4 linked regions of the Coturnix japonica genome follow. The protein of the gene in region 2 purifies or fractionates together with the protein of the main gene of each other region. This does not show direct contact. Links are inferred from orthologs where the notes say so. Each region holds a gene or a part of one and is shown on either strand. Other genes may lie near its edges.

Evidence for each region. Proteins that work in one complex are often made in the same cells at the same time.
Region 1: the proteins of LRRK2 (region 2) and SLC25A22 purify together in Homo sapiens (co-immunoprecipitation; 3 studies listed by IntAct, with this or other methods). This does not show direct contact. The link is inferred for Coturnix japonica from reciprocal best matches to the Homo sapiens genes LRRK2 and SLC25A22.
Region 3: the proteins of LRRK2 (region 2) and BAG5 purify together in Homo sapiens (co-immunoprecipitation; 3 studies listed by BioGRID and IntAct, with this or other methods). This does not show direct contact. The link is inferred for Coturnix japonica from reciprocal best matches to the Homo sapiens genes LRRK2 and BAG5.
Region 4: the proteins of LRRK2 (region 2) and SLC25A5 purify together in Homo sapiens (co-immunoprecipitation; 3 studies listed by IntAct, with this or other methods). This does not show direct contact. The link is inferred for Coturnix japonica from reciprocal best matches to the Homo sapiens genes LRRK2 and SLC25A5.

What each region holds. Positions count from the first base shown.
Region 1 is NC_029520.1:8,824,147-8,829,019, forward strand, and holds the start of SLC25A22 (mitochondrial glutamate carrier 1), read right to left. Parts: upstream 3,016-4,873; 5' UTR 2,881-3,015; intron 1-2,880. UniProt on the Homo sapiens protein: Mitochondrial glutamate/H(+) symporter. Responsible for the transport of glutamate from the cytosol into the mitochondrial matrix with the concomitant import of a proton. Plays a role in the control of glucose-stimulated insulin secretion.
Region 2 is NC_029516.1:13,454,492-13,458,161, forward strand, and holds the end of LRRK2 (leucine-rich repeat serine/threonine-protein kinase 2), read right to left. Parts: intron 3,636-3,670; coding exon 3,561-3,635; intron 2,396-3,560; coding exon 2,274-2,395; 3' UTR 907-2,273; downstream 1-906. UniProt on the Homo sapiens protein: Serine/threonine-protein kinase which phosphorylates a broad range of proteins involved in multiple processes such as neuronal plasticity, innate immunity, autophagy, and vesicle trafficking.
Region 3 is NC_029520.1:45,843,834-45,848,626, forward strand, and holds the start of BAG5 (BAG family molecular chaperone regulator 5), read right to left. Parts: upstream 3,016-4,793; 5' UTR 2,881-3,015; intron 2,661-2,880; 5' UTR 2,633-2,660; coding exon 1,280-2,632; 3' UTR 1-1,279. Other genes in the region: cytochrome c oxidase assembly factor 8, read left to right, coding at 3,034-3,372, 4,695-4,758. UniProt on the Homo sapiens protein: Co-chaperone for HSP/HSP70 proteins. It functions as a nucleotide-exchange factor promoting the release of ADP from HSP70, thereby activating HSP70-mediated protein refolding.
Region 4 is NC_029519.1:15,436,596-15,441,209, forward strand, and holds SLC25A5 (ADP/ATP translocase 2), read right to left. Parts: upstream 2,766-4,614; 5' UTR 2,668-2,765; coding exon 2,557-2,667; intron 2,420-2,556; coding exon 1,933-2,419; intron 1,827-1,932; coding exon 1,686-1,826; intron 1,116-1,685; coding exon 958-1,115; 3' UTR 716-957; downstream 1-715.

The DNA.
Region 1 (4,873 bases), on a different chromosome or scaffold from region 2:
GGATAAGGAAGCTGTCCCCATTCTTAGGAAGAATGGCAACAAAGGCAACAGGAAAACAAAGCACCCAGAAGAAACCATTTATTAAGTCACATTGTATCTTCTGCAACTGTGGCAGGATCGTGTAAGTGCTGTTTTCTGGTAGACTGCAGGGTCAGAGACAAACTTTGTTCTACTTATCCGCAGTCACGCTCTAAGCCTGAGTCTGTGGCAAGGGAGAAAGCAGAACCCAAATTCACGGTTAGCGCTGAAATATCTCTAAACACACTTCCCTCTTTTTACTGCATAAATCTCTACCTGCCATAATTCAAGGAGCGCTGAATATGGCACCAAACCAGCTCTCAGTTTGCATGTGGCTTAGGACAAGTTGTTTCCACTCCACCCTGCCTATCAGGCAGCATGGAGCTGCTCCATCTGCTCTGCCAAAGTGTGCAAGCAGCACATCCACAGGTATGAGTAAAGAACCAGGCAGTGCAGAGACAAGGACCTATATTCTTCTCCTCCTGTCCCTTCTCATGTGATTCCTCCAAGACAGAGCAGGAAACAAGGCAAAGCTGTGGATGAACTTGGGCACTGCAAATAAGCCTACCTGGCAAAAGAAGGAAAACAAAGACAGCAGCACAATGGCTTCACCAAAACGGCCTTGCCAAAGGGGTCGTGGCCGAGAGCATGGGCTGCAGACTGCTCTCATGTGTGCTGTAAGAGCAGGAAGGCTACGCATCTCAGTGACGAAATAGAGCACTGAGGAATTTGAGCCCTGTATACATGATATGCACGTGGGAGATCTGCCCGTACTACTTGCAGCACTTAGAACCCAGCCCTGAAGCAGTCGAGCACTTAATTTGAAGACGGCCATTAATCATATCTCTGCTTCCAGGGCTGAGTAGCTGCAGCATGGCCAAGAGGAGCTGCTGGTAACCTGGGTGCACTGCCTCACTTCAGCACAGGCTTCTCAGAGCCCTCAGTGTCGGGATGACTCTCCCAGTACACCACACACTGCATCGGTGAAAGGAGGGACCCAAAGAGGAGAGAAAGCAGCACTCCACCATACCTTGACACTCCTTACTGAGACACAGGAGCAGTTCATCAGTCACTCCAGCACATCAGGATACAATAAACTGCTTTCCCAGCACTATACAGTCATCATGCACTCTGATCAGGATTTACCCCTCATGGAAAAGCTTTTCTTAAGGGATCTGTAAAATTGGTCCTCTAACCAAGGATGCCAGGTCAGGTAGGTATTTCCCCCATCTCATACACTAACCTGAGTGCGGCTGGAGAAGGAGAACAAATGACCCTAGCAAGCTGCCAGTGACTCCTACCTCTGTGTAACTCAATATTGCACGCTATCCCTTCTTAAAGTGGCAGTGGGACAATCTTCTAGGGCTCTGGCTTCTTACTAAGGCATTAGCAAGGCTGCCAGGTGTCAAACAAGGCCATGAATGTTCCCTCACAGCAGGGTCGTGCTCCAAGTTATGATCCAACCATGCTCTGTGTCCCAGCACAGCCATCCATCCCTGCCCGGAGTGCTGACCTCAGAACACAGCACATCTCCTTGTGACCAACATGCTGTAAATAAACAAGCCCAGGGACTCAGCACCAAAGAATCACAAAATCAATTAGGTTGGAAAAGACCGCTAGGATCATCTAGTCCAACCACCAACCCATCATCACCCCCAACAGTCTCCATGTTTCCTGAACACCTCCAGGGATGGTGACTTCATGGTCAGCCTGTGTCAGTGCATCGCTGCTCTTTCAGAGATGTTTCCTAATAGCCAACCTGAACCTCACCTGGTGCAACCTGGGGCCATTCCCTCTCATTCTATCACTGTTACCTGAGAGAAAAGGCCAAGACCCACCTCTCTGCAACCTTCTTTCAGGTCACTGTAGAAAGGAAAAGCAAAACAACCTACGACCGAGAGAACAACTGCAAGCCAACCCCACACGATGCGCTGTTATCAGCCCAGCACCATTCTGGTTTGATTGCCTTTTGCTTGCCACTGCCAAGAAGAGCACTTAGGAGGCGTAAACCAACAGCATGCAGTGGATCAGAATCACTGCAGCTTCCATCCCTGGCAGTCACAGTGTGACAGGTCAGATCCTCGTGGCAAAGCCAGCCTAGAGGTGTCAGCAAGCAGCTCAGCCTTTGCCAGAGAGTTCAAAGAAACTGAGATTTTAGGCCAAACGTAGAGCTGGCATCCTGCTCTGATGCTTGTCAGACTGACAGCGTGGCAGGGCGCAGGAAACACATGTCGAACCCCCTGCAGCAGAGAGGCCTGGGGCACTGGAAAATCCAATTCCCACGAGCCGAGCAGATCCGCAGGGTGCAGAGGATGAGAGGATGCTGGGGGTCTCCCATTCCAGGGGTGACCTTGAGGAAACCCCAGAAACTATCCACACTTCCACGCTCCCATCCGCGGTAATAACCTTGACCTACCTCCAAGAGCCGGCTTAGGAAGGAGCTCAGCGTGGAACGGAGGCCGACCCGCCCGTCCCAGCTACGGCGCAGCGAGCAGCACGGAACGGCCCCATAGAGCAGCACGGAACGGCCCCATAGAGCAGCACGGAACGGCTCCATAGAGCAGCACGGAACGGCTTCCATAGAGCAGCACGGAACGGCTCCATAGAGCAGCACGGAACGGCTCCATAGAGCAGCACGGAACGGCCCCATAGAGCAGCACGAAACGGCCCCATAGAGCAGCACGGAACGGCCCCATAGAGCAGCACGGAACGGCTCCATAGAGCAGCGGCCGCCCCGCAGCACACGTGTCCCCGCGATGGGGAGGCGCGGGGCGATCCGTAGCCATGGGCCCGCTGCAGGAGATCGGCGGACACCCTGCGGGCTGGGCGGTGGTGATCATCGAACTGGGGGCTCGCACTTACCGGGCTGGCAGCGGCGGGCTCCCGCCGGGGCCCGAAGCCGGTGTGAAGCGGGGTACGGAGCTCCCCTCCCTCCGGCTCGGCTCGGTGCTGCTCGGAGCGGCTCGGCTCAGCTCTGCCCTCTGTGGCCGCGCTCAGCGCAGGAAGAGCGGGGCGGACTCCCCGCCCGTCACCGTTGGGCCCTCCCCGCCCGCAGCCGCCACCGCGTCGCCACGACAACGAGGAGCAGGGCCGGGGCCTGCACTGCGAGGCCCAGGGGAGAGGAGCTCCGGGGGCTCAGATCTGCGGCCAAACACGGCTGCCATCCCCTCCTCCTTCTTCATTAAATTCCATGCAGGGTTTAACAAAAAAACGGCAGTAACGACCAACCTGAGCACAGAAAGCTGTGCATGGAGGTGCTGTGCGAGCCCGTGACATCAGGTCCTTGCTTCCAGGGCACAGGCTGAACTCATGCTCTGTAACACGAGAGAGATGTGCAAAGTCTCCTGGTGGTCCTCACCCTGATAATGGGTCTTCACCAAGCCAGCCCTCCCATCAGCCAGCTCCCAGCTCCCTGGTGAGCTCTTGGGATGATGGTCATTGACATCACACTGCTGAGGAAAGGATAATAGAGCACAAGGCTAACAAGCACACCGTGTATACAGAAATGGCAATGAAATGGAGTTGTGATCAAATGCCCAGACATGTCTGAGGTGTGCACGTGCCTGAAAATGAGAGAAGCTTGTTATCACAATCAGACCTGTTACCTAAAGTGAGAAGAAGATGCCAACCAGAGGTCAGTAAAATATGAGATGCTAGTGCTAATGAGATGGACTGCTTTCAACCTGGAAATTCAGAACATGGAGACAAAGCTGTCTCCAGAATGCTGGTTCCTGATTGTTCAGCAGCTATTCTGGAAGGAGACTCCGTGCACTGTGGGGTTTATTTGTCTGAGCATCGTCCCAGGACCAACATCCCCATGTGTGGACATGCTGGGGCAAGGGGACACAGCCACTCACCCACTCACAGTGCAACTAGAGGGGACTCATCTGATGGAAGGACATGGACTGTTTCCTTCAGGAAGCAAGGCCAGCCACTGCAGAAAAAGATTTTCTGCCTTCCTGGAAAACTCAGGTACAACCCTCCTTGTTCTTCTTTCCCCTCTTGCCTCTCCCCAGGTCTCCTCAAACCTTTCAGCTCTGGAAGCACAATGTGTCCCCCACAAGAGGTTGCAGAGCCAGGCAGAGAAGATCCAGGCATCTGCCACTGTAGGCACTTCTTTGGGTCCCCACTCCACCAGCATGATTTGCAAAGGCATCAGTGGGTTTCACTTGGCTGTACACAGTGGGACTAAAGCTGAGCTGAACTCATTGTGGGTAGAGGGGAACAATTGTGCTGTTTATCATAACTTGCCATCCCCTAGATGGGTTGGCTGGACAGTGCTGTCCCCTGGCAAGGAACAGGTTAACACTGCCCTGCTTTAATCTGAGTTTCCATAGGACTGCAGAATCACCCACTTTTATTTTTGGTTCTGCTGCATAACAACAACTGCTCTTTGTAACCTGCACAGAGCAAAGGACCTGTTTCCTCTGGCAGCTTTTAAGAGAGGGGATTAAAAAAAAGCAGAGGAACAGAATTCATATTCAGCAAGTGCCAGGTTGTCAAGGTTTCCTGTGCTCTCAGACATGCTTTTTTTTCTCCTGCCACACACAAAATAAATTTAATACTGTCGTGACCAAAGAGGAGCTTCAAAAGCAGCACTGACCTGTGAGGTTTGATCTGACATGGTGTCCAGGCAGGACCCCTGCCATGGCTCACACCTCTACCTTTCTGTGCGTGGCAGGGAGCAGAGCTCAGACCCTGCTACACAGAGATACTGCCTGCACAATGTGATTCCAACGCCCAGAGAGGCTCAGCGAGTGTTTTGTGTTTCTCTGCTCCGTGCCTTTCCCCATGCACAACTGCAATCTCAAAATCCCACATCTCTTGACAGTGGGGAAAGCATCAGCCTGGCTGA
Region 2 (3,670 bases):
AGACTGAGAGCAAAGTGCCACCTTTTGCTGCTCACTTGCTGAGACCTTCTGTGCTTGTTTGGCCCCAGAGTTGTTTGGCTGTTACAAAGCATTCCCGCTGCCCTGCAAGCATAACAGTTCAGATTAGAAGGAGTGATGGGATATAAACTGGACAGGGTGTCATATCAGCCTGTCCTACCTGTTTACAGTATGATGAACCTGGGCTGCTTGTAAATAAGGTAAAATGAACGTGTGGCAGAACCTGCTCCATGTAATTTGCCAGAGCAAGCAACCAATAAGGATGTGAAGTCAACAACCCTTTAAGTATTTGGCTCCCTCTGCGCAGTTTGCTGCCATAGGTGTAGAGCTGAACGTCCTTCAGCTGCGTGGCTCTGAGCAACACGGGCTAAATTAAATGTTGAGCTCAGGTGTTAACTTCCAGCTCAGGTGTTAACTTCCAGCCCAGCCGTGCAGCTTGTTTCCAATGGGCAGAGAGGCTTTTCTTGAAGTAGAAGATTATCTTCAGTTTTCAGATGCTGGATGTTATCCTGAGTAAGCAGGCAGCATCATATCCGACAGGGCTTGTGCTGTGCTGAGCGCATTGCAGCTGGGAGGGGAGGCCGGTCCCCCAGCTGAGCTGTGTTTGTGGCGACCTCCTGTCTTGGTTGGCTGCTGTTGGCTCTGTGAGCCCTGTAACACTCACCCCTTAGGCCAGGTTCAGTCTGTGCTGGGTTCTTTCTCAGTGATCTTCCGACGGATCAATAGTGAGGTGGCCAGCACTGCCTGCGGTCACCTCCTCCAGTGCACCAGGCTACCAGGCCCTCTCAGGACAATGCTTCTCCTCCCCAGGGCCACAAATACAAGAGTAGAAATAAGGGATCAAGTGCAACAAAAGCTCCTCCCTGGAAACAGAGCAATGAGCAAATGGACTGTCATTAACAAAGCACAGCTTTAATAAAAAGGTAGAAAGCTTACATCTCAAAATGACTCATAAATAAACGTAACTGCATTACATAGCATCTCTTTTTTAAATGTATTCATTATAATAATATATATTTTCTGAGTTACAAAATCCATATAAATAGCAAATTATCTTCTGGGTGCAGAATACAAGGACGCATAAAAAATGGGGGTACAGATCTGAAAGGAATCCTGAGTCCACACACCACGAGAGGCAGCAAATGGGACAGTGACACAGCTGGGCTCGGCAGCTGCTGCTGTCCACGTACAGAAGTTCTTCAAAACTGGGAGCCCACAGGGTGCTGCTGACCCTGCTGCTCCGGACAATAAACTCTGGAGTGGTTCTGTGTTCTCCGTGCAGGGATTTCAGGAGAACTCTATGGATTCTTTTGGTATCGCAACAAGAAAATGAGCTCTGTCTTCTGATGGATGGAATGGAGGCACACAAGGCAAGCTGCACCAAGATTCTGCAGCACGCTTCCTTCTTTGTGGTACGAGCGGTAGCAGCCTTTCCAGCAGGAGTTTCCTCTCTGTTCCTTCCCATGGCTTTTAGAAGTGAGCTGTGCAATAGATGTACGTGGATGGGAATGTTCTTGACTCCATGACTCCATTGCTCAGAACGAGGCAGGCTGCACAATTGCAAGAAGGCACCAAGGTGCAGGGCTGGTCAGCGTAATTCAATTTGGAATTCAGAGGAATTGTATTATTTTAGCACAGTTTGGTTTTCTGTTTGCAATGGAAGATGTCAACTTCTCATAGAAGAAGCAAAGGCTGTAATCTGCCCATTGCGCTGCTCCTCGTGAGAAGTCTGAATGCTCCTTAAGTTCAATTATTTGTATAAAATATAATGTTTTCCTTTGTTTGGCTGAGGTCAAGAGCTCGGACATGAATAAAACATGAATCATCAGAGAAAACTCATGCTTACAGACTGCAATAAGGAAACAGAGCCTTCAGCTTTGCTTCTTACTCCGGTGTCAACTCAGTAGAGATACTGAAGTAAATCAGAGCCGTTTTCAGTCTCCTGGCTGATTTCCAATTTAAGAGGGACTAAAAACTGGATGAACAAAGTTATCCTGAAGTCGAGCCGCAGCTCCTCCGTGCAGAACTTCATGAGTAAACAGACACGTGATAATGCTTCAGATTATGAAACTCTTAATGATTTTCTGTCCTTTCAAACATTATGAATAACACCCTTCTTTCTTCTCAGTACACAATGACTTGGGAAGATTTCTTTCCTGGTTTGGGTTAAGGAGCCCAGCAACAAGAGGCTGTGAATATTGCACGGTGAGTTAGGATACAAGTCTAGAAAAGAGAATGGCACTTGAAAGGGTTTTTCAGTCCAAAGTGAAGCTTTTCATTTTTTCAGCTAGTTCCTGTCTCACTTCTATATGTTTCTTCAGGTTTTGCACTTCGTGGGGGAGGTTAATGTCCCACACTGACACACAGGACTGTAATTCTGGGGGAAAAAAAAGACAGTGCAACAGAGCAAATTACTGTGTGAACAGAAGTGGTCTTGCTGAAGAAGGGCATCAGTGTGAGCATCAGTTGTAACTGTTCTTAGGAAAAAAGCAAAACAAATCAAAGATGGAGATTTTATCTTCCTATTCCAGTACTCGCTATCCTAATTGTCAGGAAGCTCTTCCTGATGTGTGACCTAAATTTCCCTCGCTGTAATAGAAACTGCTTAGCCTTTATCCTGCCCACAGGGAATAACATGTTGAAGTATTATTCCCTTCCTCTTTATTTACATATTTGAAGCCTGTTATCATATCTGTTGGATGCTTTCCTAATATTAAGTAATTTATCTTCAGCATTTTCCCAGAGGCCGCATTTCTCTCCTCTGGACTATTCCTAATAGTTCAGATCATTCAGCATTGTCCCAGATGGATGCACTCCTGCAGCAGAGGTCTTATCAGAGCTCAGCAGAGCACAGGAATTAATTCCCATGTCTTAGAGAAGCCACTTTTCTATTGGCATAAGAAAGGTTTTTGTCCCTTCTGCAGGAACATGACGCTGTTGACTCATGTTCCACGTGTGATCAAAATAAACCTTATTTTCAGCACCACTGCTTAAGCCGACCATTTCCTCCTGTTGGTACAGCTGATCCCTCCTAATTACGTTTGAGGTCTCACATCTGTCCTTACTGAACTGTATCCTATTCCTTCCAGACCATTTGTTCTATCTGTCAAGGTTGCAGTGAATTCCGGTCCTGTCCTCCACTGTGCTCGTGGCTCCTCTGAGCTAAGTGCTGTCTGCCAACATGAAAAGCAGACGCGTTATTCCTTCATCCACATCATTCACCATAACACTGAGTATTCCTGGAGGCCCCTCTCGAAACCCGTTTGACACGCTCCACAATTAGACATGGGCAGTTATTCTCCAAATAGAGTTTTCTAGAAAATTATGTGCCCTCCAAAGAGTAGCTTCATCCGATCAATTCAGGCAACTGAATTGTTTGTATGGAGCCCAGAAACATAACCAATGACAAAAACGAATAATAATTTTCAAAAGAGTAGATCAAATGTTGATCGCCAGCTCTCCAAACACACCTCAGAGGGTGGCCGAGCGTCATAGTTTCTGCTTCACTAATAATACAAATTAATAAAGCACAGTTCAGGTACCTTTGTGATATTTGTCATCTTCGGTGTCGCTCTTGTAGCAGTATCCCAGAACCACCACCACGTTCTTCAGGCTCCCTTTTGCAAAGAAAGAAAAGGTCAGATTTTAATTT
Region 3 (4,793 bases), on a different chromosome or scaffold from region 2:
AAAGTTTCTGTAATTAAATATATTTCTCTGTATTAATTCATTTTAATGCCATGCTCAAAATAAACCCCAAACAAAACAAAACTCAAAACCATGCTATAGTAGAAATGTGATGGGTGCTAGCAGCAACAAACGAAAAGGTAGTGCATAAAGTAGTACAATCGAGCTGATTTACAAAGCTCATTTATAATTAAGCAGGGAGTTACAAAGAGAGACGTATGCCAAAAGCCTCTTCCAAGACATGCCTAAAGCCACACCTGACCAGTATGAAAGATCTACGTGTATCACACAAACGTACATCATTAGGGATGCCTTTATACTACCTAACACTACAAAAATAAATCCAAAATCCTCATCCGCTTCAAAGTGACTTCTGCTCTAATCAAACAGGGGAAGGCGAGTCAAAACCAGATAGAACAGCAGAATTTAAAAAGACCCCTAAGTAGCATTAAAAAAAGTTCATTGCAGTTTTCAGGTTCTAATGGATGGCAGTGTGAAATCCTCAAAACCCAATTCATCTGGCCAGTAAATATCTACAGATTGTCCTCTTTGAGTCCCAGCTTCTTAAAGCAAAGAATATTTGAGAGTTTCCACCAGCAGAAAAGCTGTTCTTGCAAATGACAGTTCACAGGTGCCATACAAAAGTGGCTTCGCCTATGTGAATTTGAAGCTGGCATTGTACTTCTGCCGAGCAGGAAATCTAAAGAGATCTAAGCAAGCAGAAGGTGTGATGGATGGAATAAAACAAGCACAACCCAAAAGCCAGCAAGTTGGTTTTTTTTTGTTTGCATTTAATACTTTTCATCAAAGCAGCACATTAAGAGTATATCCAGACTGCTACGATGCTGCTGGATGGAGCCTTGTGCTTAAACACTAATTTTCACGCCCAGCTTTCTTGAAACAGCTCTGCAGTACTGCACCACAAGGAATTTTCGGCATCTTTGAAACATTTGCGTTCTCTGAATGTTACACCAGGTTATTAAAACACAGACAGATTAAGAAAAAGAAGCCGTTCAATCAACACTTAAGCTGCTCCTTCAGAGAATCTCATTCCATTGCTTATAGCAGTGACCAGAATTGCTGATGGTGTACTGACAGTTGCCATGGCAAGTGGGTGACTGCGTGGGATAGCACACATATAGCCAAGGTAACTTTGTATGCAACCTCCGTGATTTAAGCAAGCATAGAACACTACTTTCACTATGTGCTGCCAGTGTAGCTATCATCCTACATGAAGTGCCGCAGGAAAAAAAATGGTATTTTATGTCAGGCCACGTTTCCTTCAGTACTCCCATTCATCTGTTTTCATGTCCAGGTAGTAAAGGATATTCTGTGCAAGCTTTACTGCTTGCTTTCTGGCAGCCTTACATCGCTCGTCACCTTGTGGGTCGACGGCATCAAGTGCAAGAAGTTGCTTTGTAAGGAGTTCTTCCAATCGCATGTAGTTCTTATCTGTTCTATTTCCATCAAAAGAAATCACCTCCTGCTGAATCTGAGACAAGTTTCCAAGCACAGTCCAAACTGCTTGATGAGACTGATGTTCTGCAGCAGTCTGCTCTGCGTACATTTGCCTTTTTCCAAGTGCTTCCTTTAAATCAATGTATGTTATGAGAGTCTGTACTTCTATCACTGCTCTTCTCCTGGCTTCTCTAATACAAGGGTTTTTTCCCGGACTCACTTCATCTAACTGGGCAATTAATCCCTGCAGTTCTGCTTTGGATCCCAAATACAAATCAGAAGCATTCTCTGTTTTTAAAAGCAAAGAATTAACTTCCTTCATTTTCTTGCGTATTTCTTCTATTTTTAGAATGGACTGATTTTGGGCCAGATCATAAGCATGAGTAGTATTTGCTTCTTCATCCAAGTCCAGGTATTTCTGCAATTTATTGATCTCTTCCACTACTTCCTTTCTGTAATTCCTTATTTCCATGCGACCGCAGACATCCAAAGCATCCAAATCAGCGACGAGGCCTGTGAGGACGCAGGCTAAATGCCTGCAGGTATCATTACTACTCACTCCCATCAGAAGCGCAATAAGGGTTCCTCTGGCTTTGTTCACCTCACACATTACAGAGTTAATTTTGGAGACAGAAGGATGCGCATCATTAGAGAGTGGCAGGGAGAGCTGTCTCTTGGCGCAGCTCTCTATGATCTCCTGCACGGCGCACACTTTAGTCAGGGTGCGATATCTCGCTTTGCGCAAGGAAACCTTCCCTCCGGTCTTCACCTGGGTGAGCCGCAGCACGATGTCCTGGATGCCTTCTTCAAACTCCTCGTTGATGCTGTTGCCTCCTTGGTAGAAAGGCGTGATCTCACGCTCCACCAGCGCCTGTGCCTCCTTGAAGATGGCCTCGATCTCCAGCCTGCGCGGGTGGTTGGCGTTCTGCTCCAGCTCCTTCAGCAGCCGCTCGGTCTCCTGGGCAGCGCGTTTCCTGGCCTGCTGGATGTCCCCTTTGCCCTCAGTGTCCACAGAGTCGATCTCAAACAGCTGTTTGGTGAGGGATCTCTCCAGCTTCTTGTAGTCCCGGTCCGTGGACAACCCGCTGAAGACTGCCACTTGCTGTTCGATCTCTCTCACTTCCTTCTGTATCTCGTGCAACCGTTTGATGGCAGGGTGTTGGTTCCCCATATCCATGCTCTGCTCTCATCCACCTTCAGTCGAACTGCGATGCAGAGCGAAGCGAACACATCGGTTACCCGTGTTTACAACTTTATATTACGGTCTCACCGACCCCTATCAGCGGGCACGCAGCCGCCCCTCCTTCAGCCGGGGTTGAACCCCCCAGCACGGCGCTCCCCTCCCCGCTCACAGCCGCTCCTTCCCACCGCTCCGGAGCCGAAAGCGACGCGTTCCCCGCACTCCCCCCCTCCTTCCCGGCTCACCCTGCAGCCGCCCCCGGGCTGAGGCACGGCGGCCCGGCTCGGCGCTGCGCCACGGCCGAGCGGTAGCGAAGGGCTCGGAGCCCTGAGCCCGGCCCCGCCCCGCAGCGCCGCCCTCGGCTGCGACATCGCCGTAAAGCGCGGCCGGCGGCGGGGATGGCGGCTGTAGGGGTTGTGCGGGCCGTGAGGGCGGGCGGCTGCCGCTATGGATGCCGCTATGGATGCTGCTATGGATGCTTCTCCTCTACTGTGTCCTCCGGCGGCGGGGAGCGGCCGATCGTCCCGCTTGTAACACAGAGGCCGCGGTTCTGTCCCCCCGCCGGCTCCCGCAGGGACTGGATCGGGCCCCCAGACAAGCGCTCTAACCTCCGCCCCGTCATCTTTTACGTGTCGCCTCACGAGACCCCGCTGGAACGGCGGCTGCGGGAGCTGCGGGAGGAGACACAGGAGTGGAACCAGCGCTTCTGGGCCCGGCAGAACACCGCCTTCAGGACGGTCAGTCCGGAACCGCTGGGGGGCGGCATCGGGCCGGGAGGAATGGGGGGGTTTGGCTGCTGGAAGCGGTGCTGCCGCAGGGAAAAAGCAAGGAAAGCTCTGCTGTAGAAGCACCTGATGGAGCTGTGTCTCTGTTCGTTGTAGGGTGGTTGGAGAAAATGGCATTTGGGGTCCATTCTAACTCAGATGGTTCTTTGATGTGCCCTGCTGCACTGGCAGTTGAACCTTTTATCAAGGCTGAAAGCCTGTGATGCTGTGTGTGATTCTGAAAGCAAGGACACGTGCTTTCTTTTGCGATTGCACCTTAAGGTCTGGAGCACTTCTATGAAGGAAAGCTGAAAGAATTGGGCTTGTTTAGGTAGGAGAAGGGTCTGGGGAGACCTCATTGCAGCCTCCCAGTACTTGAAGAGAGGTTATAAACAGGAGTAGGAGTGACTTCTTACACAACCTCGTAGCTTGTCCTATCACTATTGGGTGCCCCATCCCTGGAGGTGTTCAGGGCTGAGTTGGATGGGGCCCTGGGCAGCCTGGTCTGGTGAGGGGCAGTCAGCCCATAGCAGTGGGGTTGGAGCTCGCTGACCTTCCAACCGAAGCTCTTCTATGACCCTATAGGTTAGGAGGAGTGGGAGTGATTCAGTAATTCACTGTTATTTCTGAGCTTTGATCACCATATCCTCCCTGACTTCTGTAGAACTGAGTTTGAGAACTCGACGAAAAGGTAATTGTTCTGTACACATCCAAATAATGACAGATTTGAAGGCCACGTGTTTATCTGAATGCAGAAATGCTCAGTTATGTGGTATGTGTTGTCTTCATTGTTAGTTTGTTTGTTTGTTGTTTGTTTGGGCCTCACTGCTGTCTGAGCAGAGAATTTCTTTCTAACATCTAACCCAAATCTTCCCTCTTTCAGTTTAAAGCTGTTCCTCCTTGTCTTATCACTATCAAATTATGCAAAGAAAAGTCTGTCTCCTTCCCAATTACAAGCTCCTTTCAAGTACTGGAAGGCTGTGGTGAGGTCTTCCTGGAGCCTTCTCTTCTCAGCCTAAACAAACCCAACTCCTGTAGTCTTCCTTCATAGGAGAGGTGCTCCAGCCCTTTGGTTGTCCTCATGGCCATCTTCTGGATCTAAGCAACAGAGCTTTATCGGTTTAACACTAAGTCACTGTGCTTGGGTAAATGTTTTGTTGATGTTTCCAATATTAATGAGTGTTGTTTGTTATTTCAGAGGGTATTAGGCACTGAGCTGTTACATGATTTAAAAACAGTGGTTTACTTCAAGGACCGAATGCCTCAAATTCTAATGTGGAAAAACCATCTTTTAGGAAAAAGAAGAATTTATCTACTCAAGGCTGAAAGCCAAGGGTCTGGAAACGAGAGATGAAACAGGTTAGTGAGATCTTTGTACAATTCAAGATACGTTA
Region 4 (4,614 bases), on a different chromosome or scaffold from region 2:
AGCTGGCAGCTGTGCTCTGGGGGGCTGCAGTCCCCCAAGGAGTCTGGGCAAAGGCCGAGCCACACACATCCCTGAGTCTCTGTGTGTTTTCCCCAAATTACCCCATCAGCGGGAAAGAATTTCCCCCAAATGTGAGACTGGGAGCAGCTTAGTTCTCACAGGGCAGGCAGGGCAGGCCCAGCAGGTAGACAGGCATCTTCTGACCTCAACCCAGCAGCCCAACACCTCCATGCAATGGCAAGCCTAGCCAGGGGCTTTGCAGAAAGAGCAGCAATTACCCACACTTATTTTCTCTGGCTGAGTTTTAACATGCCCAAGTAGGGAGTTCAGTTTCTAAGCCAGAACATGTGACGCCAGCTCCGCTCTTCCAGGCTGCTGTGGATACTCCTTACGACTTCCCTCCAGTCCCCAGATGTTTAGTCCAGTGGGTGCTTTGCAGGAAAAGGTTCTGAAAAGAGCCTTCATCAGCCCCATGGAACACACAGCCCCAAGGCAGGACTGGTGGCACAAGGCCAGCACATGTCCCTTAGTTACCACCAGCACTCACTGCTGACCTCCACCAGGCTGGAAACACTCTCTCAGCAGGCTGCACTGCATTCACGTGCTGGAGCCCACAGTCAGTGGGTCATGCAGGGCTCTGCCTTCCCCCTCTACAATCACAGAGGTCCCTGGCCCCTCACACTGCAGCTGCTATGAGAACAACCATGAGACAAAGAAAGCTGGCATCGGATTTTTATTTCTTTGTACTCTTTAAACAGGAGTGACTGAAATAGAAACCATGTTTGAGTCCCAGCAGTGGGAATGATTTGATAAAGACGAGGCAGGAGGTTGTCCCTGCCCCATGCCAACCTGTATAAATATCATCCGTTACTGTTAGTAACTAGACAGTTTTCATACAAGTCCATGAATGGTCATAGATAACATATTACAACATGCCACTTCAGAACAAGAAATAACTTATGTGTACTTCTTAATTTCATCATACAGCACTAAGACGAAAGCACCACCCATTCCTCGGAGCACATTCGACCATGCACCTTTGAAAAACGCCTTGGAGCCCTCGTCCCGGGCAATCTTCCGCCAGCAGTCAAGAGTGCCACTGTACATTATGTCAGCTGTGGGAACAGACAGTGTTAGAAACCTGCTGCCTATGACCCCCAAAGTCCAAGTCAGAACCCACCTAACGTATCTGGCAGTTGTACAACCTCATGTATCCATTTCTTGACTTACTTTTAGACGATGAGATCGCCCAGGCTTGTGTTACCCCCAGGAGACACTGGAAGGACCAGTCTGAGCAGAAGGCAGCTACTGTTTCCTAGACACCAAAACTTCCAGTCCCAAAAGCTACTGCAGTCAGCCAGGCCGTGCCTGCACTGAAGGACAACCCTTCTTAGCCCAGAGACATGAGTTTCAACATCCTCAGGCAAGCTCTGCCATTCCTTCTTACTGAACAAACCCAACCTGCATGTTCCCCTTACAGGGATGCCACAAAGCCAATCTATTTGCCCCCACCTGACAGCTGCTTCTGCAGTCCCCTCATATCCTGCAGTTTACAAGAGGAGAAGGAATTTAAAGGCCTTGGTGAAGGGCAGCACACACTCCTGCCCCCAGCACAGACCCACTGCCAGCTGTTGATTCAGGGATGCCCACCAGCCCCTAACACAAGGAGGGAGGGAGCGACTTACTTCCTTTACGGCCGGACTGCATCATCATGCGGCGCCGAACTGTATCGAAGGGATAGGAGACCAAACCGGCCACCGCGGTGACCGACTGAGCGATCATCCAGCTGACCACGATGTGGGTGTTCTTTGGGTCGGGGAGCATTCCTGCGGGAGAGAGGCTCTGTGTGACATCAGCAGGCGAACCGGCATCACGCACAGTGCAGGGCTAAGGGCCCACAGCTCCACGGGAGCGCCGTGCCACCCCACCTACCCTTCGCGGTATCGTAGATGCCGAAGTAGGCGGCTCTGTAGATGATGATGCCCTGGACGGACACGTTGAAGCCCTGGTACAGGCCCTTGAGGCCATCCGAGCGGAAGATCTTCACCAGGCAGTCACCGAGGCCGCTGAACTCGCGGTCGGCCCCGGCTTTACCCACGTCGGCGGCCAGGCGGGTCCGGGCGAAGTCAAGGGGGTACACGAAGCAGAGCGAGGTAGCGCCGGCAGCGCCGCCGGACGCCAGGTTCCCCGCGAAGTATCGCCAGAACTGGGTGCGCTTGTCCACGCCGCCCAGGAAGATCTGCTTGTACTTGTCCTTGAAGGCGAAGTTGAGCGCTTGGGTGGGGAAGTACCGGATCACGTTGGCCAGGTTACCCCGCCAGAAGGACAGGACGCCCTGCTCGCGCGGGATGCGCACCACGCAGTCGATGATGCCCTTGTACTGCTTGTCGGCGGAGATCTGCTTGCTGGCGTGCTGCACCTGCGGGGGACACAGCACCAGCAGCACTATCAGCACCAGCAGCACCAGCAGCGCCGTCAGAGCGCCCGCCCGCCGCCCCGCAGCCCCCCTCTCCTTGACGACCTTGGAACGCCCGCCGCCCCCGTCCCGCCGCTCACCTGCAGCAGCAGCTTCACCCGCTCGATGGGGGCGACGGCGGTCTTGGAGATGGCGGCCGCCACCCCCCCGGCGAGGAAATCCTTGAGGAAGGACACGACCGCGTCGGCCATGGCGGGAGGCGGCGAGGAGAGGCCGGGCGGAACGCGACGGGGGAGGCGGCGCTGCGGCAGCGAGGCGGGAGCGGGGCCGAAATGGCCGCGTTATATACGGGCGGCGGAACACACGTGGGCGGGGGCGCGCCACGGCAACGCGCCGCCGCGTTCCACACGCCCATTGGCTGCGGGAGGGGGCGGGGCCGCCGCAGGGGGCGGGGCTTAGGACCACCGGGTGGCGCGGAGCGACGGGAACCGGCGGGAGACACCGGAGGGATGGAGCTGAGTGCGGGGCATGACTGCACACACAGCCGGGATAGAGCCCTGTGCGGGACATGACTGCACACACAGCCCGCATAGAGCCCTGTGCGGGGTATGAGTGCACACACAGCCGGGATAGAGCCCTGTGCGGGGCATGAGTGCACACACAGCCGGGATAGAGCCCTGTGCGGGGCATGACTGCACACACAGCCGGGATAGAGCCCTGTGCGGGGCATGACTGCACACACAGCCCGCATGGAGCCCTGTGCGTGGCTCCATTAACAGCCGCGTCTCCCACGTGCCTTAATATCTCTTCCAGGACCTGCTCCGTGATCTCAGACTCAGCAGCCTGCAGCTCCCAGCTCTCCCTTCTAAGCAGATGCAATCACACAGCTGAGAGGCTTGGCTGATACAAAGTTAATGAATGGTTTATAGGCCTCAGGAGTAAACTGTAATACAGAGGGGACAGTGGCATCCCACAAACAAGTGAGAGGTACCTTTTTGACTCGCTTGAGTCTCATGAAGTTTCAAGAGGCGAGTTAACATTTATATGCACCCATCATCCCATCTTTAACATCTATTTAGAAATACAACGTCAGTAAAAACAAACACAAAAAGTCCATGTAAAAGCACGGCTCAGAAACCAGTTCTTCCCAACTCGCTCACAAGTCGTATTTCCTTATTTACACACATCAAATAAATGTCAATATTGTTAATGACGCTTTACAAAGATAGGGAAACCGAGGCAAAGAGAAACATGTTCACTAGGCAGGTTGATGAGAGCCAGAAATACTCACACAGCCTCCACGTGACTCAGAAGCCACAAGAACTGCTCCCTGTCACCCTGAGTTCTGCTATCAATATCTGTGCTTCTCTGTCAGAAGAAAACCAGCCACTGTAGCAGTGCACAGCAAGCCCATTACTGGAGATACAAGAGCTCAGCTGTAGGGTACATCAGTGTTAAGAGTGCAAAGCAGGTCTTACAATTATCTCAGGTAATGGTATTATGTTTCCTGAAAGGGCCCTGGCCTGGTGAGAGGCCTATTTAACTGCAGTGGCACCAGTGAGAACCTGGAGGTTGTGCTAAGTTCCCAACCTAAGGAAGGGCTGTGGGTCCCAGAGTGCAGAAGTTCAAGAGGGAAAGTGAGAGGATGTGTACACGGTGCTCTTCTGCAGGCAAGGTCTGAGCAGCACAAGGGTCTGAGAAGCAGTTTAGCATAAAAATAGAACTTTAAGAATAGTGGAAAACATCGTAAGGCTCGTGGCTCTGAAATAACTCAGGTACACAGGAGAAAGGGACAAAGATTCCCAGCAAGCACCGAAGTTTACAAGATTGTCATTCCAGTGTATTACGGTCTAAAACACAACAGCAGCAGCACATTTTCATTGCTGTGCCAAAGATGTGAACAAAATGAATAAGTCTCAAAAACAGAAGAGTGGATTCTGGAGTGTGAATGAACAGAGGCTAACGCTGCACCTGCAGAATGCCACATCCACACACCATCACTGAAGAGGAGATTCCAGTTGGAACGCTTGCACGTTGTCTATCCAGTCTGCTTACCATTTTCTGATGACTTCTTAGCACAAGTTACTTTAAAAAGAAATCCAATCTGAGCTTTCTTCATGTTCTGAAGATACCATTTGTACCTGTCTCAGTTTTCATTCCCTCTGCGAGTGGTTTATCTTAAAGTGGTTATCCAGCAC